3 linked regions of the Coturnix japonica genome follow. The protein of the gene in region 1 purifies or fractionates together with the protein of each later gene. This does not show direct contact. Links are inferred from orthologs where the notes say so. Each region holds a gene or a part of one and is shown in the gene's direction. Other genes may lie near its edges.

Evidence for each region. The genes of interacting proteins can lie anywhere in the genome.
Region 2: the proteins of WWTR1 (region 1) and BTRC purify together in Homo sapiens (affinity purification with western blotting; 8 studies listed by BioGRID and IntAct, counting the BioPlex papers as one, with this or other methods). This does not show direct contact. The link is inferred for Coturnix japonica from reciprocal best matches to the Homo sapiens genes WWTR1 and BTRC.
Region 3: the proteins of WWTR1 (region 1) and YWHAE purify together in Homo sapiens (co-immunoprecipitation; 5 studies listed by BioGRID and IntAct, with this or other methods). This does not show direct contact. The link is inferred for Coturnix japonica from reciprocal best matches to the Homo sapiens genes WWTR1 and YWHAE.

What each region holds. Positions count from the first base shown.
Region 1 is NC_029524.1:21,181,945-21,185,444, forward strand, and holds part of WWTR1 (WW domain-containing transcription regulator protein 1), read left to right. Parts: intron 1-2,402; coding exon 2,403-2,602; intron 2,603-3,500. UniProt on the Homo sapiens protein: Transcriptional coactivator which acts as a downstream regulatory target in the Hippo signaling pathway that plays a pivotal role in organ size control and tumor suppression by restricting proliferation and promoting apoptosis.
Region 2 is NC_029521.1:19,976,710-19,980,209, reverse strand, and holds part of BTRC (F-box/WD repeat-containing protein 1A), read left to right. Parts: intron 1-2,477; coding exon 2,478-2,639; 3' UTR 2,640-2,671; intron 2,672-3,500. UniProt on the Homo sapiens protein: Substrate recognition component of a SCF (SKP1-CUL1-F-box protein) E3 ubiquitin-protein ligase complex which mediates the ubiquitination and subsequent proteasomal degradation of target proteins. Recognizes and binds to phosphorylated target proteins.
Region 3 is NC_029534.1:3,997,534-4,001,033, forward strand, and holds part of YWHAE (14-3-3 protein epsilon), read left to right. Parts: intron 1-1,920; coding exon 1,921-2,120; intron 2,121-3,500. UniProt on the Homo sapiens protein: Adapter protein implicated in the regulation of a large spectrum of both general and specialized signaling pathways. Binds to a large number of partners, usually by recognition of a phosphoserine or phosphothreonine motif.

The sequences.
Region 1 (3,500 bases):
GATCTGGTGCAGATCTGCTGATAAAGGGGGAGTGTTTTAAAGCAAAGGCAGTAGGTAGCATGGCAAGTGGTATTACAACTCAGGCTCTAGCCCTGATTCACCATACACGCTATTAGACTTCACTTAACTTTGCCTGGTTCTATAATTTGTATGTGCTGCTTAGATGAAAACAGTGTTTATATGTAAGACTGACTGTATTGTGGTGTAATCCCTCAGCCAGCCTGGATTGTAAGTGTAGCTGTCCTGTCAGTCAACCAACCACTGACATGCCAAAGATCTAAACTCATGTTTACACATGTGAAAAGAGTTAAATTCCTGCTGAAGTGTTTATGGTACTGGAAATTTAACACCAGATTTACACTGATATTCTTCATATAATTGTACTTATAATATTTCTTAATTATTTTAATTAGAATGAGACTAGATCCTCTGTGTTTCAAAGCTTTCCATTACAAAAGTAGTTTGATTCTTGCACCCATCTCTCATTCCTACCTTTCCTTCTTGGCGCCGCAGTTTGCTGTCCTTTAGAGATTTGCCAGTGAAAAGCTGGATTTGTCCATCTTTCCTCTTCCCTGAAAACAGTTTATTTCTCCCATCTGTTCTCCTGTGTTCACTGAGCATAAACATTTTCACAGCTACCCAGTGCTTTTGTTAGGAACCTGTCTAACTAGAAAATACCTTTCTAGCTTCAGGCAATTTTTAGTTTGTTATACAGCTACAGAAATGTGTTGGCCAGCCCAGTAAAAGGATGACTTGTGGGCAGGAGCAAGCAGCTGAGCATGGAAGAGGTGGTAACAGTCAATACCCCTGTTTCATGAGGAAGCATGATGTCATTTTTGTGGATACAGCTGTCTGTGGACCACATACCCTAAGTCAGTGGAAAGGTTACATTACTGCAGGGCTTCTTTTAGCTTGGATTATTTCTCGAGCTGAATTTGCCACTGAAGCTAAAATATCATAACTGCGCTCTCAGATGACCCCACAGTGCTAGGACCTATGTGATACTGGGTCATCCAGAAAGAAAGATGTTGGAGTGGGTCCAGAGGAGGGCCACAAAGAAAATCAGAGGGCTGGAGCACATCCCCTGTGAGGACAGGCTGAGGGAGCTGATGCTCTTGAGCCTAAGCAGCCTTCCAGGACCTGAAGGGGACCCACAGGAAAGATGGAGAGGGATTTCTTATGAAGGCATGTAGAGACAGGACAGGAGGAAATAGCTTTAAAATGGAAGAGGGTAGTTTTAGACTAGATATCAGGAGAAGGTACTTTACTATGAGGGTGGTGACACACTGGCACGGGTTTCCCAGAGAGGCTGTGGATGTCCCCTCTGTGGTAACACTCAAGGCCAGGCTGGATGGGACTGTGAACAACCTGGTCTAGTGAGGAGTGTCCCTGCCTACAGAAGAAGAGTTGGAACTAGATGATCTTGAAGGTCCCTTCCAACCCAAATCATTTCTATGATTCACTCTGTTATTCTGTGAAAATTCAGTTCAGATCTGATGTAAGCACGTATGAATATTTCAGCCTAATGAAGCATGGCAAAATGTATCCTGGCCCAATGCCTGCATACCTCCAATTGCAGAATGACAGACAATACCTGATTTGGCAGAAAGCTCGGAGAGCTTTCAGACTCTGAAATTATCAACCCATCTCTTTCAGTGCACACTTCCAAGAGTTCTTGCTGTACTGCATCCTACAGTGTTAGATGCGAACTCAGCATAAAGATCAAGTTCTGAGAAGCAGAGAACTGTGTTGAGATTTCAGTTTTCATATGGTAAGAGCAGTGAGTGAGAGACAAGAAAGAAACAAATCTCAGTTCCTTGGGAAGAAAGATAAAGTAGCTCTTCTGAGAAGTACTTTATTATCTAGGGTGTTGTTGTTAAAAAAGAGATGCTTTCTTAGTTATGCTGTCACCTCATTAGTGAAAGAATACTTGCAAAAATGTCAGTGAATTTTTAAAGCGGTATGTGGCTACCACTTATCATTCAAACTGATTTCAGGCACCATACTTGTTTTTTTCCTGGAAATGTGAAGGCAGGGGAGGAAATGAGGAACAATTCACCCTGTGGTTCACAAAGGATATTGCATTTCTGAGAACTGGTATGTTTTATTTAAAGGTAAAGTGGAGGTAATGTCAAAACTGTGCATGCAAGCAAAGCAAAAGGATGAATTCCTTCACTACTTCATATCAGCAGGCAGATGTGAAGCTGTTTCCAGGAAAATAGGATTTCAGCATGGGTATTGGTTACTTAGGAAGACAAATGCATTGTGCATTTTCTTGCAGAGCACATCCCCATCTGGTTTGAGATATCTCTTTGATCACCTGTGTCCCACTGTACTCCCACCTCAGACTTATGTGCCCCCCCCGCCACTCACTGAGCACACCTGTGATTTCTTTCCTGCAGTTATGAATCACCAGCACCAAATAACAGGCAACACATCCATCTCACAGCAAAGCTGTCCTTCCCAGACTCCACAGCCAGGCCTATTGAACATGCCCAATGCACTGACGGCGCAGCAGCAGCAGCAGCAGAAACTGAGGCTCCAGCGAATCCAAATGGAGAGGGAACGAATAAGGATGCGCCAGGAGGAGTTAATGCGACAGGTAACGTTGAGGATACACTTCTATTTTGCTCAATAACTTTTCTTTTACCCGGTGCAAATAGTAGCACTGTTGCTTGTTGTCGTGATTAACTACTGCTTTAGGTGAAAATAACAAAAAATGAATATAAATGGAGTCTTTGTGAAAAGACAGAGAACGTTTCATTTTTTCACTGCAATGAGAATATTTGTATAAACAGCTTATAATGACGTATTTGCTTCATATTTACTTTTTTCACTTTTGCCTCCTTTAAGCATAGAAGAATTGAAGGAAACGATGTTTTACAAAATTCAGAACAATCATTTGTAGTTGTACAAAAAAAGCAAAAAAAAAAAACCATTAAAATTATGTCCTTTTACAAATCCTGAAGTAACACATTCCTATCTTTACATGTGATTATTCCCATCATCCTTGGTGAATGGAAACAGTATTGTAGCTAAACATATGCCCTTGCTGAACAGTGGTGAATGGCAGATACAAGTCTATTAATGTCTCTGACATGTTTTACTGGCTCACGTCATGAATTTGACTTTTATGGTTCAGGTTTGAGTGCAGAAACTCTGCAGATGCTGTCTTGTGTTCATGCTCAATTTTCATTAACCCTAATTTATGGGAATTACATTGTGCTACATCATCTGTGTGTGTAGAATGACTGTGTTCAGTGTGGTGTTCTCTGACTTGATTGGTAATCTTAAACCTTGTGCATACCTTCACTGTTACTGTCCAGAACTGAGGACATAATAGGGAACATAGAAGAGATGGAAGAAAGTGGGCATATCTGGTGTGAGTTTAGTCATATTTTTATCATGCTAGTAACATGTTCCACTATTTTTACTCTCTTTGGTCCTGTTCTTGCTTCAGGACAACAGCAAATTAAGCATCAAAACAGTTGAGCAATTAA
Region 2 (3,500 bases), on another chromosome or scaffold:
GTCAGTTTAGCACCAGCCTGCAGGATCTAAAAGTCATTTCTAGAGATCTGGCTTCTTGATTTGAAGTTAAGAACTAAGTCATTTTTGAGACTTGTGCTTGGAATTCATGTGTTGGTGGCTTTGCTTAACTGTGCCTTTTTCCATGAGCTGTTGGCAGGGAGTTTCTTAAAGAAAAGCGGTAAATTCCAAAATCTGATGGGGAAAATAAACACACAAAAACAACCTTTTCATTTTCACCTGCACCCTCATCTACCACCCAAATTTCACTAAAGTATTTTGCTTCACATTTTGCACAGGCTCTGAGGGTTGACAGGCAGTAGGTCATTAAGCCACACTAGCTCTTCTCCAATCCTATATTTGTACCATAAGCTGCAGAGTAAGAGTCAGTGAGAGCCTTGGATGCCTGCAGATGCTGTGTTGAAAAACCTCCTTGGTAGCCACAGAGAACTACAAATAGTTTCATGGCTGAAATCCAGAAAACCTTTTTGTCATCAGCCACCCAGCTGCAAACTGTGGAACAGCTCTGTGCCCATGAACACGTATCCCGAGAGTCCAAGACTTCAGTGTGATATTAGTGGTGTTTCTGCTCCAGCCCGAGACAAATGTGTGCCTAGTAACCTGTAGACTTAATTTAACTGGTGCGATTTCCTCTGCATTTTCCAGCAGTGGACAGCCAAAGTGCCCCAACTAATTGTATTATAAATCAGAAGCGGTGGGATGGAAACACTGTAGGAATCTCGACACATGGATACTCATAAATCCCTGTTTGATAGCGATGGAGGAGGCCAGAAGAGGAGGGGCAGAGGAGGCTGTCGTAGTGCTTTTAGGGCTTTTCATGTTTATGACAACAGGGCGTCCTTATACCCGCTTACCCATAGTTGTGGTGGTTTTTTTTTCCCCCTCTCTTCTCTCGGCCTCCAAAATTAAACCTGGCTGCACAATGAACATCGTGAGTCTCCCGCTGCTCGTGTTCAATTTTCAAACAGTAGGAGGAAAGTGCACAGATAACAAATGCTCTCTGCGTGCCAGGTCCCTCCCGTTAGCTGGAACAGCAGCCACACGAGTGTCACAGAAGCTTTCCAGGCACAGAAAAAGCAAACAGCACAACTCTCCTTCTGAGCTGAAGGGCCCGGCTTCCTGCAGCCTCAGCTTAGGGTGTGCAGTCTGCTTATTGTCACTGCAAATGCAATGGGGATGGCTGCATGGAACTTCTAGGGCAGTCTTAGCCTACAGTGGCTGAGAGGAAAAAGGCTTTTCAAAATAGTTTGTAGAAACACTTCTCTCTTGGTGCATCTGCTAAGGGTCTATCAGTGGATCTGGCCATTGTAGTGATATTTTTTAGCAAGAATTGCTTTACTTCACTGATACAATACAGGGATACAGGGTCTGGAAATGCTTTTCTTTTTAGTACTGAGTAAACCCATGAAGTGCTTGTAAGGTGCACTAGGGTTATTGGGTCAGAAGACCAGGAAGGTCCCAATGATTGGGCTCTATAATAAAATTGTCATCAAAATAGAATCTGATTTTGGATTGTGTGTATTTGATTTAGAGCTTCAGAGGCTCCCTATAAGGCAGCTGTTCTGTTCTCTCCGTGTTTTTAAACCAAGCTGTATTTTCAGAGTCCTGTGCCATAAGACACAGCCTTCCGTTTTAGAAGCTTCTCTTTTGTCCAAATATTTGAAAAAGCTGTAAAATGCTTCTGAGCATTTTTTTTTCTGACCCTGGGCCACAGAGGGATGTGTATTAGAGAGAGAGGGCTTGTCCCAACTGCATGGTCTCTGTTCCCTTCTTCCTGAGGAGGCTGCTGCTCGCTCCTGTGGCAGTAAGCACCAAGAAAAAGCAGCCAGTGCAAAAGGGAAAGCCTTCTGGATTTGCTTTGTGATATTCAGGATCTTTCTGTTACCTCCTGTTAATTACAGTCTGAACTCTTGCCAAGTCGTCATGCCATTTCCACTCAGCCTCAGAGCAGAATGCAAGCTGCCTATAAAGAATGCGCTTTCTAGTTCATATTTTTAGAACTGCTTAAGAGGAATTATTACTGTGTCACTGGACTTCTTTACAACAGGCTCCTTAGTGTCCTCCAGTGTTAAGCTTTTCCCTCTTGAGCAGGAGCAGTGTTGCCAAGCCTTGACTGCAAAATCCTAATCCCCCTGTAACCTTCAGCATCTGGGAACACCGTGATTTCAGGAGGGAGCCAAAGAACAAGGCAGGATTTGCTCCCATCAGCCTCGCAAGGCTGCCTTGTATAGTGGAGGGGTCTTGGTTTGTTCTGCACAGTGCATTCATAGGGACTGAAGGAATAATACTACAAATGTAATGTAAAATTCCTTGTGAGCCAAGAACACTGATATGGCAAACTTGTTTCACCAAGGGTGGTTTAGTGATAGGTCTGGGCAGTGTGTTGTATGGAGTTTACTGACTGAGAAATTGATACAATGCTGGAATTTGTGAATTAACACGCCATGTCTTCCATTTAGGAGCATTCTGGAAGAGTTTTTCGACTTCAGTTTGACGAGTTCCAGATTGTCAGCAGCTCACACGATGACACCATCCTCATCTGGGATTTTCTGAATGACCCAGCTGCCCAAGCAGAATCCACTCGTTCCCCGTCCAGAACATACACCTACATCTCAAGATAAATAACAGTACACTGTACCTCACACTCGCACAGGTAAAAATGATCTCAAAGATGACACTGGACGTAATGTGAGCATGCAGTTTGAATACTTAGCTGGGTCTATCGGTATTCCTCATCGTGATTGGACAGTAACTGCAATGTCCTGTAAAAGGACAGGAGTGGTTCTATTGCCGTAAAAGAAGGGTTTTATCCAAGTATTCTTGACATGTGGTGCCCATGAGTTCCCCCTGAAGAACTCCTCCACTGTCCATCATCATCAATAATTAAATCAGCTATTACTGCTGCCTAGAAGGAAGAAGGGTTTCTGCAGAGCGAGTAGAGCAGCTGCTGCCTAACAAGGGGATGCAGATGGCCTGACCCTGGGCAGTTGTCACCAGGAAGGAGTGTTTTGCCAAGAGGCATCAGCTTTATTCCTTCCCGCTGAAGTGGTGACCATTCTTCTCGCTCTGCAGCAAGCTGATTCAAGAGAACCGCTTGGCTAAGGGAGGAGGCACTGAGGCACAAGACCAGGCAAATTAAATCAAGCTGCATCAGTGTGCAAAATCATTTACAGGCTGGGCCTAGCACTCCTTTATGCTACAGCATGGGTGTAAATCGCTCATGTCTGAGCCTGGCTGATTTACTCATTGCCTTACCCCCTTTGTCTTGGCCAACATAACGTGGGGAGGAATTTGTGTTTCTTAAGTTTGGGTCAGTTGCACAGTGGATCTGATGTTTGTAATCACAGTGACATGGCACGATTGACCACTTTGATGCTGTTAGAGGCTTGAGAAAAAAGGCAGATGAGCTGGCAGGTTTCTGCAGGGGGTGTTCACAGTGACATTTTGCCATGAAAATGCTGTTCTGGAGCACGTCTTGAATC
Region 3 (3,500 bases), on another chromosome or scaffold:
CGTATGTCACACTGATGTATAAAGAGATACAAAGGTTTAGACAGTACAAGTTTGGGTGAAGGGTGGCGGTCACATTCAAAGATCTTCAGAGTGATGGTGGATGCCTGGAAATGAGCATGAAAGATGAGCACAGCATCACCACCTCCCCTGTTATCTGCATTACTTTCTAGGGGGTATTTCTTCTGCTCATGAACTCATATGACTCCTTTCATTTCAAGGAGTGAAAGGAGGGCTGTGCAGTCACAGCTACGGGTTCATCGCTGAAGCTGTGGCACAGTTTCAATTACTTTTCTTATCTGAGGGCAGTTAAACATTAAGCTAAAATACAAGCCTTATGGTTCTTGCTGGAGCTTGGCACAGATATCCAACTAGCTGGGACTGCGAGTCTTCATTCGTGTTGGTCGTCCTTCACAAGAGCAAACACTGTGGCAGGCAGACTGCCTTGAATGTACTTGAATGCTGCATAAGTAACATGAAAATCTGAGAACATAACTCATGATTTAAGGAAAAAAAGATCAAAGTTTTGAGATGATTTGAATAGATGGATGGGTCACCCTTTAGGAAAGAAATCCTAGAGCATGCACTGTTCAAGTTGTTTGCTGTAACTATATAGCACTGCTTTTAGGTTAGTTTAAATTATGAGACTGTGTACTTACACTAAGTATATTTAAAGAGCAGTTTAGGATGACTTTCTGAAATCTTCATCAAAAAGAGTTCATTTTAAATTGTAGGGTGTGGAAAACACTTACCCAAGTATCACTTATTGTTACTTCATGAGCTGGAGCAGCAGAATGTACTGGTAGAGGTAGGGCTGTTTTTTACTCCTGATGAGAACAGAGCTGCTATTAAATTGTCCTGCATATGTGGCAACCTGCTGGAGACTGATAACACCATTCCTGCAAGGGAGAAAATTGAGGCTGTAGTTCTATTACTGAAATGGCTTCTTTCCTGTGAAGGTGATGAGTTTGGGCACCTGATGGGGGAAGGGAAAGACAATTCAGATTCACTTGCATCTTCTTTCTTACTGCCATTATGCAGCAGAACATGTGAAGGTTTGGGGGTAGGGGAGGATGAGGATGTGAGGTAGATAGGGTTAGGGGCTGCAGGGGGCTCAGTCTTGCTCGTTAATGGCTTTCCTGTCTGTGGGGTTCTCATCTGCTCTAGAAGCTGAAAGGTAAAGGTTGAATGAGTGAAGCACTTGTTAGCAGGAGGTAACGTAGGGCTTCCGGGTATCTCAGACTAAGCTCTCTCAGCAGATATGTAATAATTTCAGCCTTTATGTTTCTGTTAGGTCATAGGAAATCATAATGTGATGAGGTAATGAAAGGATTAAAACCTTTAAGTAATTTAGGTTTTTACTTTCACTGGGACGTAGAAAAGCTGTATTTAGTAATCATTTTTTTTTTTTCACCTGAGGTTTGGGAGTCTTTTCTAAACGGTTTAATCTATAAATACAAATTACATTTACTGTGTTATTTTTCCAGTGCAAATAGTTGCTTGGCATGGCTGGGTGGTGCTGCTCTGCTTATCCTCAGGAGGACTCTCCTGTCACTTCTCCAAGCAGTTGATTTTTCTTCTGGTGGTTTCCTCGTGGAACTTCAACTTGCTTCCATAACGACAGTGTTCTTTCTGCTTTGCTTCTATGGAATCCTTCTGCTAAGCTGGTTTTGTTTGTGTCTCAAACTGTCTTGAAGGAATGTTTTGGGTACCCTTGTCAAATGCATTTGAAAGAGCATCAGGTAGTTCTTTGTGTATGTGCTCGCTGACTTGTTTGGAGCATTCCTCTATAAAAGCAAGGTGTAACTGGATGAAAGGAGGAGGGAGCCTATTTTGACAAGTTATCATTAATGCGCTGCTTCTCGTGAATGGTTTGAAAGATGCTTTAATACTGAGAATAACTGCGTGACCTTTTCTTCCTAGAAATGGTTGAATCAATGAAGAAAGTGGCTGGAATGGATGTGGAGTTGACAGTGGAAGAAAGAAACCTGCTTTCTGTTGCATATAAAAACGTGATTGGAGCCAGAAGAGCTTCCTGGAGAATAATCAGCAGCATTGAACAGAAAGAAGAAAACAAAGGAGGAGAAGATAAATTAAAAATGATTCGGGAATATCGGCAAATGGTAAGATGTAGTTGGTGCTGTAGTGTAGTGCCATTTAGCTAAGAAGATCTGGACTCTGGGTTTGTTACCATTAAGTTTAAGCACTCTTGTGTTTGTAGGAACAGGGAATATTAAGATATTCTGGACGTCTCAACTGTGAAACTTAGATGTATAATGAGCTGTAGGGCCTTGCTATTTTCTCCCTTCAGAAAGGGGGGAAGAATAGATGGAAATAACTGAATGGTGAGTCTAGTCAGCCTGTGCAGCTTTACCTAAAATGGAGAACTTGGAGTGAGCTGAGCCTTTCATCAGTGAGGGCTAATGAAACTGTTGGCTATTAGAACAGTGAGCTGTTCCCTGCCCCCCCAACCCTGGCCTCCTTAAGTGATGGTTTAATGTGGAGCAGACACTCTCATGTAGAATTGAAGTCCTACGCATTTCTGCAGAGACTTCAGATCCATCACTGCAGGATAAGTGCCTCCACGTTTCCCATCTTCACTCTCACAGAAACAGTGGAGTGTCTCTTTTAACTACCTGGCACTGATTCATATGCTGCCAATGGGAACGATGTTGGCTTGGGACTCCTTTCTGAAGAATGGCTCTGGACTGTTCTCTTTTGACTCATAGCATTTTGTTTGCTCTGTGGAATTGTTCAAGTTCTGAGTTTCTAATTTTATGCTGGCGTGCTGATGGGGTGCAGCTCTGCCAGTTACATACAGTCCCAAATACCATTTCTTGATGGGTATCTAAAATCTTCCAAGCAGAGCATATAAATTAAGACAGTATCATTTGTCTTAAACCTCATGCTTTGGGGTTTTTTTGCTTAACATTTTGTAGGCAGTTACTATCTTTTCCAGGGATCCTTTAATAGTGAAAAGACTTTTTATAGTCCTTCCAGAGACAATGAAGAAACACTGTTCTGCATCTCTTTTTAAAGCAAGAAAATGCTGTGCAGAATGGACTGGTGAGCAAGAACTATACACACATACACTCCTCAGAGTAGTGTATTGAGATAAATGTACAGGCCATGTAGAATGCACTGCTATACAACAGTACTTCCATGTGTTAAATTCTTCAAGGGAAGAGCCATCACAGGTCCTTTGGGTGCTGTGAGCTTTAAGTGGAAGAATGCTGTGGGGAGCACAGGAGTGCATTTCCATGGTGAAGAAAGAGTAGATGTGTCTGCCTGCCTGGCCTGAGTGCTCCAAGAGGCTCGTGCTGTTGGCTGTAGCTGAAGACCGAGTCTTGTTTGTAGCTACTGGAAGACTGTTTTATATGTGGAGAGCATTAATTGGATTGTTAAGGCAGAATTTGAGCACTGAGGGCCTAAAGAACATACACAAAGGTTTGGGTCCAGCTTCTCTTTTGCTGCTGACATGAGAGCTGCAGAACTGCCCTGCT